2 linked regions of the Lonchura striata genome follow. The protein of the gene in region 1 purifies or fractionates together with the protein of each later gene. This does not show direct contact. Links are inferred from orthologs where the notes say so. Each region holds a gene or a part of one and is shown in the gene's direction. Other genes may lie near its edges.

What was found.
Region 2: the proteins of SNRNP70 (region 1) and SNRPD1 purify together in Homo sapiens (affinity purification with mass spectrometry; 6 studies listed by BioGRID and IntAct, counting the BioPlex papers as one, with this or other methods). This does not show direct contact. The link is inferred for Lonchura striata from reciprocal best matches to the Homo sapiens genes SNRNP70 and SNRPD1.

What each region holds. Positions count from the first base shown.
Region 1 is NC_134640.1:2,127,887-2,135,838, forward strand, and holds the start of SNRNP70 (U1 small nuclear ribonucleoprotein 70 kDa), read left to right. Parts: upstream 1-4,457; 5' UTR 4,458-4,581; intron 4,582-5,944; 5' UTR 5,945-5,955; coding exon 5,956-6,102; intron 6,103-7,394; coding exon 7,395-7,457; intron 7,458-7,805; coding exon 7,806-7,860; intron 7,861-7,952. Other genes in the region: KCNA7 (potassium voltage-gated channel subfamily A member 7), read right to left, coding at 1-390. UniProt on the Homo sapiens protein: Component of the spliceosomal U1 snRNP, which is essential for recognition of the pre-mRNA 5' splice-site and the subsequent assembly of the spliceosome. SNRNP70 binds to the loop I region of U1-snRNA.
Region 2 is NC_134603.1:111,362,183-111,370,534, reverse strand, and holds the start of SNRPD1 (small nuclear ribonucleoprotein Sm D1), read left to right. Parts: upstream 1-5,352; 5' UTR 5,353-5,466; coding exon 5,467-5,480; intron 5,481-6,063; coding exon 6,064-6,140; intron 6,141-8,352. Other genes in the region: SACM1L (phosphatidylinositol-3-phosphatase SAC1), read left to right, coding at 118-187, 290-362, 814-907, 992-1,084, 1,759-1,816, 2,503-2,639. UniProt on the Homo sapiens protein: Plays a role in pre-mRNA splicing as a core component of the spliceosomal U1, U2, U4 and U5 small nuclear ribonucleoproteins (snRNPs), the building blocks of the spliceosome.

The sequences.
Region 1 (7,952 bases):
CTCGCACAGCAGCCACGCCCGCCGCCTCAACCCTCCACGCGGCAACGCCGGCGGCTCCTCCACCGAGAAGCCTTCGGCCTCGCGCAGCCGCTCCTCCGCCTCGTCGCCCAGCTGGTAGAACCTCAGCTCCTCCAGGAACACGTCCAGGGGCACGTCCGGGGGTCTCCGCAGCCGCCCCCCGGACTGGTAGTAGTAGAGCACGGCCCCGAAGGCGCCGCGGTGGCGGTCGAAGAAGTACTCGCGGCGCTGGGGGTCGAAGAAGCGGCGCCGGCGCCGGGGGTCGCCCAGGAGGGTGTCGGGGAAGCGCCGCAGCGTCCGCACCAAGGTCTCGAAGCGCCGGCCGGCCACGTTGATGGCCACGCGCTCGCAGCAGCCCAGCGGCTCGCCCATGCCCGCGGCGCCCCCGCGACGGGGCACGGGCGGGGCAGAGGGCACCGAGGGCAGCCTGGGGCAGGTGGGGGGCGGCCCCGGCGGTCCTGGGGGTCAGCGGGGGGCGAGAGGGTCAAGGTTCTTCAGCGTCGGGGAAACCCAAAAGTCTTGAGGGATACTGAAGGACTTGAGGTCACAATGGGACCCCAAAGATTTGGGGAACCACGAAAAACTGGAGGTCAAAGATTTGGAGGACTGTGAAAATATTTGGGGTCTACAATGCTGGAGGAACCTCAAGGTTCTTCAGCGTCGGGGGAAACCCAAAAGTCTTGAGGGATACTGAAGTACTTGAGGTCACAATGGGATCCCAAAGATTTGGGGAACCCCAAAAAATTTGAGGTCAAAGATTTGGAGGACCCCAAAAATATTCGGGGTCTACAATGCTGGAGGAACCTCAAGGTTCTTCAGCATTGGGGGAAACCCAAAAGTCTTGAGTGACACTGAAGTATTGGGGGTCACAATGGGACACCAAAGATTTGGAGGACTGTGAAAATATTCGGGGTTTACAATGCTGGAGGAACCTCAAGGTTCTTCAGCGTCGGGGAAACCCAAAAATCTTGAGGGATACTGAAGGACTTGAGGTCACAATGGGACCCCAAAGATTTGGGGAACCCCGAAAAATGTTGGCAAGATTGGAGGTCAAAGATTTGGAGGACCCTGAAAATATTCGGGGTTTACAATGCTGGAGGAAACTCAAGGTTCTTCAGCATTGGGGACACCCCAAAAATCTTGAGTGACACTGAAATATTGGGGGTCACAATGGGACTTTAAAGATTTGGGGAACCCCAAAAATATTTGGGATCTACAATGTTGGAGGACCTCAAACTTCTGGGGGTCCCACACTGGGTCTACAATGTTGGAGGAACCCCAAGGTTCTTCAGCATTCAGAACAACCCAAAAATCTTGAGGGACACTGAAATATTTGGGGCCCAATGGGACCTTAAAGATTTGGGGAACCCCAAAACTATTGGAGGTCAAAGTGGGACCCTAAAGATTGGAGGAACCCTAAAATATTCGGGGCCAACAATGTTGGAGGACCCCAAATTTTTGGGGGTCCAACCGCGGTTCTACAATGCCGGAGGAACCTCGAGGTCCTGCGGTGTTGGGACACCCCAAAACTTTTGGGGGTCCCAAGGGGACCCTAAAGATTTGGGGGGCCCCTAAATTCTCAAGTGGTCAACGGTGCTGGAGGACCCTCAGGATCCTTGGGGGGTCCTACAGATTTGGGGGACCCCCTAAACTTAGGGGGTGTCCCAGGGTGACCCCAAAGCCTTGGAGAACCCTCGAGGTCTTTGGGGGTCCCACGGTGACCCCCAAGATTTGGGGGGACCCCAAAAATGTTGGAGCTGGGTGGACCTCGGGGGGGTCTCACGGGGGGTCAGGACCTTTGAGGTCCTCGGGGGTGACCCCAAAGATTTGGGGGGACCCCTCAACTCTTGGTGTCCCCCGGTGTCACTGCGTCCCCCCGAGGGTGTCCCCGGTGTCCCCAAGCCACCAGACCCCTGTCACCGAGTGTCCCAAACCGCCCCCACCCCCAGTGTCACAGGGGTGTCCCCAAGGTCCCCTCCTGTCCCCAAGGTGTCACCGGGGGGTCCCCAGCGGCTGCCACCGGCCTGGCCCCGTGTCACCGCCTGTCCCCAAACCCTGTCCCGGGGGTGTCCCCACCCCTCCTGACCCTGTCCCCGGGGTGTCCCCACTGTCCTGGGGGTGTCCCCACCCCTCCTCACTCTGTCCTGGGGGTGTCCCCAACCCTCCTCACCCTGTCCTGGGGATGTCCCCACCCCTCCTGACCCTGTCCCCGGGGTGTCCCCACTGTCCTGGGGGTGTCCCCACCCCTCCTCACTCTGTCCTGGGGGTGTCCCCAACCCTCCTCACCCTGTCCTGGGGGTGTCCCCACTGTCCTGGGGATGTCCCCACCCCTCCTGACCCTGTCCTGGGGGTGTCCCTGCTGTCCTGGGGGTGTCCCCACCCCTCCTCACCCTGTCCTGGGGATGTCCCCACCCCTCCTGACCCTGTCCCCGGGGTGTCCCCGCTGTCCTGGGGGTGTCCCCACCCCTCCTGACCCTGTCCTGGGGGTGTCCCCACTGTCCTGGGGGTGTCCCCACCCCTCCTGACCCTGTCCTGGGGGTGTCCCCACCCCTCCTCACCCTGTCCTGGGGGTGTCCCCACCCCTCCCGACCCTGTCCCCGGGGTGTCCCCGCTGTCCCCGGGGTGTCCCCGCTGTCCCGGGGATGTCCCCAACCCTCCCGACCCTGTCGACGGGGTGTCCCCGCTGTCCCGGGGGTGTCCCCGCTGTCCTGGGGGTGTCCCCACCCCTCCTGACCCTGTCCCGGGGGTGTCCCCGCTGTCCCCGGGGTGTCCCCGCTGTCCCCAGGGGTTGCCCCCCCACCTTGTCCCCGGGTGCCCCCTCCCCCCCACGTCACCCGGGTGTCCCCAACCCCCCCCCCACCCCCGCCACCACGGGGTGTCCCCGGCCCCTGTCCCTGTCACCGGGTGTCCCCGGCCCGCCGTCCCGCTGTCACCGCCGCTGTCCCGTAAACAGGGTGACAGGGTGGCCCCGCGGTGTCGGGTTCCCCCCCGCGCTAAAAATAACGGGGGGGGGGAGGGTGGGGGGGGGTGACCGGACACCCGGGTCCTCCCCCACCCCGGGGTCACCGAGTGTCCCCAAGGGGGGGTGACATCCCTGGGGGGGGTGACCGGACACCGGGTCCTCCCCCACCCCCCCGGGGTCACCGAGTGTCCCCAAGGGGGGGAGGGACATCCCCTGGGGGGGGGTGACCGGACACCGGGTCCTCCCCCACCCCGGGGTCACCGAGTGTCCCCAAGGGGGGGTGACACCCCTGGGGTGGGGGGGGGTGACCGGACACCGGGTCCTCCCCCACCCCGGGGTCACCGAGTGTCCCCAAGGGGTGGGTGACACCCCTGGGGTGGGGGGGTGACCAGACACCGGGTCCTCCCCCACCCCCCCCCGGGGTCACCGAGTGTCCCCAAGGGGTGGGTGACAACCCTGGGGGGGTGACCGGACACCGGGTCCTCCCCCACCCCACCCCGGGGTCACCGAGTGTCCCCAAGGGGGGAGGGACATCCCTTGGGGGGGGGGGTGACCGGACACCCGGGTCCTCCCCCCCCCCGGGGTCACCGAGTGTCCCCAAGGGGGGGAGGGACATCCCTTGGGGGGGTGACCGGACACCCGGGTCCTCCCCCACCCCCCGGGGTCACCGAGTGTCCCCAAGGGGGGGTGACACCCCTGGGGGGGGTGACCGGACACCGGGTCCTCCCCCACCCCCCCCGGGGTCACCGAGTGTCCCCAAGGGGGGGTGACACCCCTGGGGGGGGTGACCGGACACCGGGTCCTCCCCCACCCCCCCCGGGGTCACCGAGTGTCCCCAAGGGGTGGGTGACAACCCTGGGGGGGTGGGGGAGGGGCGGGGAATGGCTGTCGCCCCTCCCCCATGGCTAACGGGGGGGGGAACACCCCGGTGGGGGGGGGGGGATGGGCAGGAGGGGACCCCCCCACCCCAAAATTGGGAAGGGTGGGGGGGGTGGTGTCACCCTGGTTGTCATAGCAACGGGACGGGGGGGGGGGGGTGTGACCTGTGTAGGGATGAGGGAGGGGGAGCATCCCGGTTGCCGTGGCGACGTGATTTATAATTTTGGATTTTGGGTTTTTATTTTAAATTTTTTTTCTCCGTTGTCATGGAAACCACGCGGGGTGTCCCACGGGGGGGGTGGGTGGCAACCTGGTTGCTATGGCAACGAGACGGGCTGTTCCCTCCCCGTTGCTACGGAGGGAGGGGGGGACCCCGCGGCTGTTCCCGGTTGCCATGGAAACCCCCGGCCCGGCAGCGAAGCCCCGCCCACGTTGCCATGGCGCGCGGTGGGGGCGTGGCCATCTCATAACCACGCCTCCTCAGCAGACCACGCCCACAGCACCGGTTAATTAAGCCACGCCCCTAACAGCGATTGGTCCGCCACGCCTCCTTCATTTGCATGGACACGCCCCTTTGACCACGCCCCCTCACGGAACCGTTACCGGCCCCTTCCCCGCCTTTCCGCCGCCGCCACTTCCGGTTTCGCCCCTCACTTCCGTTGGCGCGGCGGCGGGCGCGCATGCGCGGGGGGCGGCGCGCGCGGAGCCGGAGGCAGCGCGGGGTCCGTGAGGGCCGCGGGCTCCGGGAGGGCCGCGGGCTCCGGGGGCGGCTCCGGGAGGGACCCCGAGAGGGCAGCGGGCCGGGGGGGACCCGCCCGGGAGAGGGGGAGAGCCCCGGAGCGGCGGGGGGCGCGGGGAGGGGTGGGGAGGGTGAGGGGGGGGCGCTGCCCTGAGGGCTTGGGGGGCTGAGGGTGGCTGGGGGCGCTGGGGCGGGGTTGAGGGGTCCAGGGGTGTCCGGGGGGGATTTTGGGGGTCGGAGGGTGGCTCTGGGTGTCCGGTGGGGATTTGGGGGAGGTCTGGGGGTGGTTTTGGGGGGTCTGGGGGGTGTCCAGGGTGGGGTTATGGGGGTCTAGGAGGGGATTTTGGGGGGTCTGGGGGTGGTTTGGGGGGTCTGGGGGGTGTGCAGGGTGGGGTTATGGGGGTCTAGGAGGGGATTCTGGGGGGTCTGGGGGTGGTTTGGGGGGTCTGGGGGGTGTGCAGGGTGGGGTTATGGGGGTCTAGGAGGGGATTTTGGGGTCTGAGGATGGCTGTGAGTGTTGGGGGAGGGTTTTGGGGGGTCTGGGGGGTGTCCAGGGTGGGGTTATGGGGCTCTAGGAGGGGATTTTGGGGGGTCTGAGGGCAGTTTTGGATGTTGGGAGGGGGTTTGGGGGGTCTGGGGGGTGTCCAGGGTGGGGTTATGAGGGTCTAGGAGGGGATTTTGGGGGGTCTGAGGGCGGCTGTGGGATTTGGGGGGGTGTGTGGGGTGGGGTTATGGGGGTCTAGGGGTGTCTGGAGGGGATTTTGGGGGGTCTGTGGGTGTTGGGGGGGTTTGGGGGGTCTGGGGGGTGTGTGGGGTGGGGTTATGGGGGTCTAGGGGTGTCTGGAGGGGATTTTGGGGGGGTCTGGGGGTGGCTGGTGTGCAGTTAGAGGGGCTCAGGAAGGTTTGGGGGGTCCCAGGTGGGGTTATGGGGGTCTGGGGTGCCCAGGGTGGGGTTTTGGGTGTCTGTAATGGGTCTGGGGGTGGCTGGTGTGGGGTTAGAAGGACCCAGGAAGGTTTTGGGGGGTCCCAGGTGAGGTTATGGGGTGCAGTGTGGGGTTTTTGGGGGTCTGGGGGTGGCTGGTGTAGGGTGAAAGGAGCCCAGGAAGGTTTTGGGGGGTCCCAGGTGGGGTTTTGGGGGTCTGGAATGGGTATGGGGGTGGTCGGTGTGGGGTTAGAAGGACCCAGGAAGGTTCTGGGGGGGGTCTCAGGAATGTTCTGGGGGGTTGGGGTGGGTTTTTGGGGATCCAGCGTGGGATGAATCAGCTGCAGCGAGGGCGGAATTTGGGGATTTTGGGGTGGGTTTTTTGGGGTTCTGGGGGTCCTGACCTCCCCCCTGTGCCCCCCAGAGCCTCCCAGGATGACGCAGTTCCTGCCCCCCAACCTTTTGGCCCTTTTTGCCCCCCGGGACCCCATCCCTTACCTGCCCCCCCTGGAGAAGTTGCCCCATGAGAAGCACCACAACCAACCCTACAGCGGCATCGCGCCCTACATCCGGGAGTTTGAGGTACCCCAAAGCCCCCAGACCCCCAAAACCCTCCCCTAAACCCCCCAAACCCCACTGTGGAACTCCCCAAAACCACCCTGGACCCCCAAAACCCTCCCCAGACCCCCAAACTCCACCCCAGGTCTGGCCAAACCCCCACAGATCCCCACAATCCCCCAAAACCCCACCCCAGGACTCTCCAAAACCCTCCCCAGACCCCCAAAACCCTCCCCAGACCCCCAAAACTCCACCCCTAGACCCCCCAAGCCCCACTGCAGAACTCCCCAAAACCACCCCGGACCCCCAAAACCCTCCCCAGATCCCCAAACTCCACCCCAGGACTGGCCAAACCCCCACAGATCCCCACAATCCCTCAAAACCCCACCCCAGGACTCTCCAAAACCCCTCAGGACCCCCAAAACCCTCCCCAGACCCCCACAATCCCCCAGAACTCCATCCCAGGACTCTCCAAAAACCATCCCAGACCCTCAAAACCCACCCCAGGACTCCCCAAAAATCCACCCCAGGACTCCCCAATCCCCCAAAACCCCACTCCAGATATCCCCAAAACCCTCCCCAGACCCCCAAAACCCTCCCATAAACCCCCCAAACCCCACCGCAGAAATCCCCAAAATTATCCCGGACCCCCAGAACCCTCCCCAGACCCCCAAAACTCTACCCCAGAACTCCCCAAAACCATCCCAGACCCCAAAAAACCCCAAAACCCCACCCCAGAACTCCCCAGAACCCCTATGGAGCCCTATAATCCCCCCAAAACCACCAGACCCCACCCCAGAACCCCCCAAAACCACCCTGGAGCCCCATAATCCCCCAAAACCCGGCAAAACCCACCCTGGAAGCCCCCAAACCCCACCCCAGGACTCCCCAAAACTCCCCAAAACTCCCTCAGACCCCCAAAACTCCCCAAACCCTACCCCAGAATTCCCCAGAACCACCTCAGAGCCCCAAAACCCCAACCCAGAAGTCCCCAAAACCACCGTGGACCCCCAAAACCCTCCCCAGAACTCCCCAAAACCACCCCAGAGCTCCAAAATCCCCCCAGAACTCCCCAAAACCCTCTCCAGAACTCCCCAGAACCACCCCGGACCCCCACAATCCTCCCCTGCATCCCCCCAAATCCTCAAAAACCCCTTTCTAGACTCCCCCAGACCCCCATAACTATGCCCCAAACCCCCTCTCCACCCCAAAAACCCTCCTGGACCCCCCAAAACCCCTCTGTGACCCCCCAAAACCCCTCTGTGACCCCCCAAAACCCCTCTGTGACCCCCCAAAACCCCTCTGTGTCCCCCCAGGACCCCCGCGATGCCCCCCCACCGACGCGCGCCGAGACGCGCGAGGAGCGCATGGAGCGCAAGGTACGTCCAGAACCCCCAAACGGGGGGAAACCCCCCCCAGAATGGGGTGCAGCCCCCCTCAGGAGGGCTCAGCCCCTTCCCCACCCTGCTGGGAGTGCTGGGGGGGGTCCCCAAAACTGGCACCAAGGGGGTGTCCCCCCCTAAAATTCAACTCGTCCTCAAGGCAGAGCTTGGTTCTGGGTTTTAGAGGAGCCTCTTGGGTTGTGCTCCCTCCCCACCACTGGGGTTTTTTGGGGTCCCCACTGGATTTTGGGGGGCTGTGGGTGGTCACTGTGGGTTCGGGGACCCCCTGAGATTAATCCCACCCCCATTTTTTGGTCGTTTTTCTCCCTTTTTTTACCCAAACAGCGGCGGGAGAAGATCGAGCGCAGACAGCAGGAGGTGGAGTCCGAGCTCAAGCTCTGTAAGTTGGGGGGATCCCGTGGGGCTGGGGGGGTCCCGTGGGTCTGGGAGGGGTCTCATGGGGCTGGGGGGGTCCCGTGGGGTTGGGGGGTC
Region 2 (8,352 bases), on another chromosome or scaffold:
CTACTTACCTGAGCTGCATTGACTAGACTCAAGTTTAATAAATACAGCTTTTTTTGAAAGCAAATCCTAATTTTTCTATCAAACTCCTAGCAAGCCTCAATGTGCTTTGTATTCCAGAGACTAGGTGTTCTGCATGTGGGACAGAGAATTGAAGAGCAGGCAGACTTTGAGAAAATCTACAAAAATGGTAGGGTATTTAGAGTTCAAACAATTATTTTTTTCTCTGTAGAGAGTATATAATATTTGTAATATTCTTCCTTAATATTTCTTATTGTTTTCCTAATCACAGCATGGGCTGATAATGCTAATGCTTGTGCCAAACAATATGCTGGAACTGGTGCCTTAAAGACCGATTACACAAGGCAAGTCAGCATTTCTTGTAAGGGCCTTCTGGGTTTTTGAGTGTGTTTGGGATTTTCTTCAAGTCCTCATATCTGAGAAGGTTATTAATCTGGGACTTAGGCTATAAATGAGTTTTTTGCAAGGGTTCAGTTGGTAAAAAGTCATACTAACATCTCCAGATTCCTTGCTGTGTTTATATGAAAGTAAAGGCTATCTGGAAATGAAAACCAAGGTGGTGTGCCATAAAGATGCACATCTATATTGTCTGATGGAAGGAAGTGTTATTTCAGTTTACACTTTTGTTACAAGTATGTGTAGTAATAACGCAGAGGCAGCACTAGATAAATGTATTCATATGCAGGTGTTCATTTAAGGTAGTACACATCCAGATAATGACAGAATGTAAATCTGAAATTATAGTCCTGAATTCATACATCTATTTTAAATATGTTTCACAATTTCTTTTTACAGAACTGGGAAGAGAACTCAGTGGGGCTTAATAATGGATGGCTGGAACTCATTAATACGTTACTACAAAAACAACTTTTCTGATGGATTTAGACAAGTAAGTAAAGCTTTTAACCATGGGGAAATGTATTTGAGAAACATTGCTATGCATTCGAACTCTTGCCTTCCCTTTCTCTTCCAGGATGCGATTGATCTTTTTCTTGGAAATTATTCAGTAGATGAAGTAGAACCTGCTAGTCCTTTACATGTCAAGAAGGATTGGAAGTTCTTAGCTGTGAGTATGGAGACTTTATTTGTAATAGGAGAGACAACAATTCAGTCCCTGGCTTCATTTTGCCTGAGTAGGACTTGTCTGTTAGTCATGAAGCATCCCTGTAATCTGGTAATGTTTCTATGATACCTGCTTATAGGATTAAACCCAGACTTTTCCCTTGACAGAAAATGGAGTGTCCTTGAGGTATTGGAAAAACTACTCTTTGCTTTTTTTCAAATGTGCTTCACCAGGTGGAAGGGGGGAAATTCTACTAGTCACTATCAATGAGTGTTTCCTTATACAGAAGAATCTTGTGGACTTCTTTTCTCGCACTTCTTGCAGAAGCATAGACTGTAACACAAAACACCCATTTTTTTCATTTTTCTTCACCTTATCTTTCTATTTTGAAATGGCATTTGGGAACATAATGGGGTTTAACTGGTGTATTTTTTTTAAAACAAAGCATAAGCCTCAACCTCTCATTTAATGCACAGGAAGTGTATTTCAGTTTTAAATATAATTATTGAATACAGTCTTCCAAATTTTGGAACTGTCCAAACTTTTATTTGTACCTGAATGCAGGTGAATTGAGAAGCAAAGCAAGTAAATAGCTTTACAGTACTACCCATCTTAAAGGAAATTAAGGAACATATTTACTGGTGTATCAAGTGATTATTCTGTTTCTCTTTCCTCAGTTGCCTATTATTATGGTGGTTGCTTTCTCCATGTGCATTATTTGTTTGCTAATGGCTGGTAAGTCACTATTGAATTTAATTTTATAAGACTGGGTTATTTCTCTGTGAACTTTGTGTAAATGGTTACAATAACTGTTCAGTGTAGAATTGCTTCTCTGTCATTCTAAAAGGTGCTTGAACATGGCTCTGGAGATTGAGGTTTAGCACTGTATCATTAGTGTGGAAAAATCTTAGGTGCTGTAGAATACAGTGTTAAGACTCATGTAGAAGTCAATTAAGGGACAGTTAATTATCCCCAAATCTAGATGCACCTTGGTAGACCTGTAGCTTTATCATAGGCTGGATGAAGCCCCAGAGGAATACCTGTCTAATTTTGGGCAGAAAGACAATTCAGAGCGGTCAGATACAGGCATAAGCCTGATTCTGATGGACTTCCTTTTAATCTAAATCTGTGTTGGGAGTGGTGAAGGGTTTTTGCCTCCTGCTTTTGCCTTGAATTTTTTTACATTATTGCCAGTAGAGTTCTTGACTGACTTCCACAGATCTCTGTTCAATGTGTTCCAAGAACTGTGTGGCAAATACAAATATTCCAAGGCAAGGAAACGGAAGATCTGTGGAAGACTTCTGATTTCATTTGACAACAGATTTCTGAGGGAGAGCTTGAAATATTTGCATTTGTCCTAAAGTAAAACTGTCTGCTAATTGGAGATAATGAGCTAAAAGCTTTGTCTGACTCTTTCTCAGGTGATACATGGACTGAGACACTGGCCTATGTGCTTTTCTGGGGAAGTGCCAGCTTTGGAACTTTTGCTATCATCCTTTACAACGGCAAAGATTTTGTAGATGCACCCAAGCTGGTCCAGAAGGAGAAGATGGACTGAATTTGTGTGTGTGGAAAGCGGCTTGGTACTGAGGATTCTTCAAGCCACACTTGGAGTCTCTACTGACCTGCTTTCCACACCAAAAAATGCTCTTATGAACATTCTTCCTTGGCAATGGGGGAGGGGTCAGGGGTAAGGAAACGGTGTCCTGTGGTGGTGGTAGCTTTCAACTGAGACCTGACTTGACAGTCTTAGTTGCAATGGTCTTTGGAATATTGCATTAGTGGGCAGGGCTCCACTCTTACTGGAGTAGTGCAAAGACAAAAGCCAGCTTTTTGGTTCTGGAATGCCTTGGAGCTTAAGTGGACTGCTGAAGCTCATGCTCCACCTGGGTTGTTTCAGCTGGTTTTTTGGCCTTGACAGGAGAGAATTTTGATGCTGTTAATGTCTCAAAATACCCAAATGTTGAAGCATTATTAATGGAACATCTGATAGGGATCTCTGAACAAATATGGCTTCTTACCAATAAAAAGTCTTGGTCCAGATTTACAGCTGGATTACGTTTGTTGTGATAAAGTCTGTGTTAAGGAGTCTTTCGTGCATATTTGTGTGTGGATTCTTTTCACTAAATATGAAAGATTTATGAATCCTAATGCTATTCTAAAATGAGGTTTTTGTCCTGTCTTGTTTATCTAGAACTGATGCAATATTCTGCTAATCATTGTTTGGGTGAAAGGGCAGTGTAATTGGATGTTCCTGAAGTTGCAAATGTCTTGCACTGTTTCAATACTACAGTCTCCATATGAAAATCGAGTAGTTAGTGAGTTAAAATGTAGAATTTTATTTCTGAAGATGTAAACAAAATCAAAGAATGTAAAAGTCCTTTGCAGTGTTTATTCAACCTTCCTTATGCTAAAGTTCCAAAGTACTTCATTATTTTAAGAATGGGTCACAACATAAAAGATTAACTTCATATTGTTTTGCTAGTCAGCTGCTTCTATCCTTGGTTATGTTGAAATAATTTATGAAAGAAGGAATAACAGCCTGAGAAGAAAGCGGTAAGTCTAAACTCCGTATTTCTGCTTGGGAGCAGCAGCTTGCTTTTCATGCATGATACTGTAATACACTCTTTTAAGAAAAAAAAAAAAAATGGAGGAAAAAAACTGCAGACTAATTTGTGCTGGTTAATGTGTGTCTTTAAATTTAGTGCTTCCAAGCTGTATAAAAATAAGGACCAATTTTAAACTATTTTGTCACTTATTTTATATGGTTTGTTCAAAACCAGACATGGAACTTGCTTAAGGCGCTGTGCATTGTTTAATATTTCCTGTAAGTACAGCTGTATATTCAGATTGCAAATATAAAATTTAAATGGGGGGAAGGGACAAAAATGTAGAATACTACTAGGGCTAGCACAGGTGTCATTATTGAAGCTAGAACACAAAACACTGATACTCCAGTGTTCCTTTGTGTCATGACTGAAAATATGTACAGATTTTTTTTTTTTTTCTTCTTCTTTTTGCAACTGTTCATTTTAACCTTGAATGTTTCTGGAGGCCTCTCTGGGTTTTGTGTAAACATAACCTGTTTATGAGCACTAGTACTTGCAAGGTATCAGTTTGCTTCTAGATGCTGTAATGGAAAAATACCAGTTGGTGGCTAACTAGGAAGTCCTCCTAACTTAAAATTTTCAAAGGTGAACTCCCTCATGGGCACAAAGTATAAGAACATCATAGATTCAATATTTGAAAGCAATGGTTCTGGTGGCTCAATGGCAGGTGGAGTTTGAAACTTGGCTCAGTTGTCTTGCAGCCTAGAACTGAGTTGTGCATCTTTGGTAACGAACTTGTTGCAGCAAAGACCAAACTTGAATTGCTAATATAGAAGGTTTGTAAGACTTAGAATAACGTAGGTTTTAGAAGTTGGAAGGCACCTGTGTTTCAGTGCTTTGCAAAGACTCTGTATTTCTAAAATCACAAATGGTGTACTACTCTTCAAATACAATAAAATGTTCAGCTTTTCTACATTGCTGTCTGCAGTGCATTTTGTACTTTGGAGCAGACTGTTCCCAAATCGGAGCTGTTTCACACCTGAAGGCTGCTTCAGTTTTGTGTGTGCTCATTGTTGCAGGTGGGAACCATCACTCAAACAGGGCTGATCTGGGGCAGTGTCTGATCCAGTCTGCACTGTGAGATGTTCACTCCTCTCAGACATGGCTGGATCTCTCTCTGGAGCACCTGTGGCTGGAGTGCTCCAGCGCTGCATCCCCAGGGTCACCTCTGCTCAGGGCCGATGGCTCTCTGTCTCTTTCCTCACAAGGGCACTTCAGTGCCTTATTGGCCATACCAATAGGTGAAAATTCTTGCTATTACAGCTCTGGATCCTGAAGCTGTAACTTTTATCACAATAAATTAGTGCTTTACAGGTTCTAGGCCTTGGATTTCTTTTCCTATTTGTAAAGCTCAAAGCAGGTTTAAAATGAAGTACACTATTTGATTTTTTTTCTAACATTTATTTTTAATTAAGGACGGCAAGCTGGTAGTTGTCAAACCTTACAAAAAGCCAGGCTTTCATAGACCAAGTCCCCTCACTCCTATTCGTATCTCCTTCCCACCATGCCCATTCTTTTTCCCCGTCCCTCTTTTCCATCCTCTCACCTTTTCCCCGCCCTCTCCCCCCAGGGGCGGCAGCAGGCGCTGCTCGGCGCTCGCCGCGGGTCCTCCGGGCCGCTAGGGGGCGCTGTCGCGGCAGCGTCCCGGCGAGCGCGGCCGGCGCGGCCTATCCGAGAGGCGCCTCCGCCGCGCCGTGCCCGCGGCTCTCCGCTCGCCCGCGGCTCTCCGCTCGCCGGGGCTCCCGCCCGCCGCTCCGCGCCCGCCCGCCCGCCGCCATGAAGCTCGTCAGGTGAGCGGGTGGGCGCGGGCAGGGGCGGATGGAGGCGGATTGCCCGCGCCCGGCCGCGGCGGCAGCGCCGGGCGAGCCCGCGCAGTCCGGGCCGCCCCGCGCTCTCCCGCCACCGCGGGCGGGAGCGGGAGCGGCCCGGGATGGGCCCGGCGGGAGCGGCCCGGGATGGGCCCGGCGGGAGCAGCCCCCTGTGCCGGGCCGCTCCCGCCCCGGGACTGCGCGGGTCGCTCGGCAAAGCACCCCCCTCCCCCACCGCCTTTCATTTTTGGAGGGAAACGCCGCGGAGTGCGTTAGCGTTGCTTTCCCGGGATTGTAACGATTTGTAAAATGGTTCCCTCTTTGTACAATAATGGCCGTTTCGCCTGGAAGTGGATGCTGGACCCGGCAGTGTGTCACTCAGGCGTCCCAGCTGCCGGTGGTTGGGCAGGACGCGGAGTGTCTCTGAACATCCCCAGCAGAATTCCTGAGCGCCGTCTTTGGGAGCTCAGGATGCCGAGCTGCTTGGTGCTGCCTGTCGAACGCGTACGGCTTTATGTGGGATTGAACGGGTCTGGAGTTTTTAAAAGGCGTTTTTAATTCACAGGTTTCTAATGAAGCTGAGCCATGAGACTGTGACCATTGAGCTGAAGAATGGGACGCAGGTGCACGGAACGATCACAGGTAGGGCAGGATGCAGCAAATACTGCCCCGCTGCCTTTCGGCAGACAGTTTACAGCCGCGGCTCGGATGAGCTTTTTGTCCTGTGCTCCCTCTTGCGGGGACCAGCACGGGGAAATGCAGGAGATGGGCTTTGTAACTCAGAGCTTTGTGTGCAAGGGCGAGGTGTGTTTGTGTTGCAGGAGTGTCTGGATATTGTTGGGGGTCGCTGGGAACAGCTGGGAGCTGTGACCAGCCACTCCATAGGCAGCCACAAAAGTACTTGGGAAATTCAGTGGGTCACGGATTGTCTTTGATGTTTAGTAGTGAGTGAGTCCATTCACTACTGGTGGACTGAGATTTCTTTGTTTTAAAGGTTTTGCTGGGAGCCTCTGAGCCCAGCTGCAGCTTTGCCTGCAGGCAGGCTCGGGGGGAAGGAAGCGAACTCTTCCAAACCTTGCTTGGCAGTCTCTTAGAATTTTAGTAGCACGGTCACAAAATGGTTTGGGTTGGAAAGGACATTAAAGATTATCCAGTTCTAACTCTCTTCCCAAGCACAGGGATAACTTCCAGTAGACCAGGTTGCTCAAAGCCCCATCCAGCCTGGAACTCTGCCAGGGATGGGGTATCCACAGCTTCTTTGGGCAGCCTTTTCCAACTGATGTGGTCTGAAATTGGTTAAATTTTGCATGTAGACTAAAAAATAAAGTAAATTATTTCTGTTGAACACGTTTTAAGGCAGATCTAGATGGAAATGCATATTTGCATATGTTTGATTGCATGAGAGGCAGGTTTGAGAACGGCAGAGCCGGGTGTGGGATACAGGGCAAAGAGGAATCCTGGCCAAGAGAATCTGCTCTCCCGGTGCTGCCAGAGGTCTGTCCTGTGGGTTCCTAGGAATTCCTGATTACCAGGTGCTTCTTCGTACCACTGAGCTGAAAGTTGCAGAGAATTCTGAAGGGTTCATTATGTAGTTCTCAGGTATTAAAACATGTGCAAGCGAATTTGTTTGCTTTAATAACCTCAGTGAGGAACGTTGTTCTGAGTGTTCTGTGAGCTGTGCTTGGAGACAGCAGGAGGGATGCAGGTGGGGCACGTTGTGTTTAATGAGGCAGACCTTCACAGCTGAGCTGAGGAAGCCACTGCATCTGCCTTCCTAAACTCACCCCCAGGCAGCTTTCAGAAGCTCTTCTGCCCAGGCACTCTTGGAAAATAAAAAGTTACAACTCTTGTTAAGTCTGAATTTTATTCTAGAGGATTGCTGAGGTACTTTTTTGGCCAACAACAATCTGTGGGGATTTGGCAGAGTTCAAAACTGGCATTAGTTTGCAGCCAGGTCCATCAGTTTTTATCGGAGCTGAGTGAACCACCTTGGTTCCCAATGGCAGCGCAAGCTGCTGAACCCAGCCAGATGGGAAGCTAACACTGCTGGTTTCCTTACCTCACTGCTCTTTCAGGCTTAATTGCCTAGCAAAGCCTCTCTCATTTGCTGCTAAGAATCCACAAAAACATTGCACAATATCCTCATCCTCCCAGCTCCAGGGCAGGAGCAGGGCTGAAGGCGCAGGTTTTGTGTAATGCCCCTCACACCAGCCAAGGGACTGGGTCAGTTGGAGCTGTGTAAAATCAAGAGGGAGGAGAGAGGAGAGAGGACAGAAAATAAAGTCACTGTCATCTTGATCTTCATAGCTGGAGGTCAGATCTCACCTAAAGCTCTGCATATGCAAAATAAAAACTTCTGGGGGTTTTTTTATTGCTTCTCAGAGCTGTTACACAGTAAATGCATCCAACTGAGATGTTTTTTTCCAGTTTGGAATTATGCATAACACAGCATAGTGTGCACAATACTAATTCCATACAAGTCATATGTACTGGCTGTTCTCAGACTTTGTAACCACAGTGGCTGTTTCTTGTTGTGGGGTATTTTATGGACTTTCATAGAGAATTCACTCTGGTGTTGAATGTATTTTATCAGAAGGTAAATGTTGCTTTTGTGGTTGGATTCTCCTGAGGCTTACAGAAAAAGGAAATGACCCAGGTTATTTTTCCTCCTCCAAGATTTATTTTACTTCTTTTTAAAGGACTAAAGATTAGTATTCGCCTTCTGTAATAAGCAGTAGTTTATTTGTTGTTTGGAGGAGTTATTTTAATTATTTACAAAGCAGCTATTGCCAGGACCTGGATAAAGATCTCTCACCATGAGGAACTAAAGGCCTCTCATGGTAACTGCCATAAT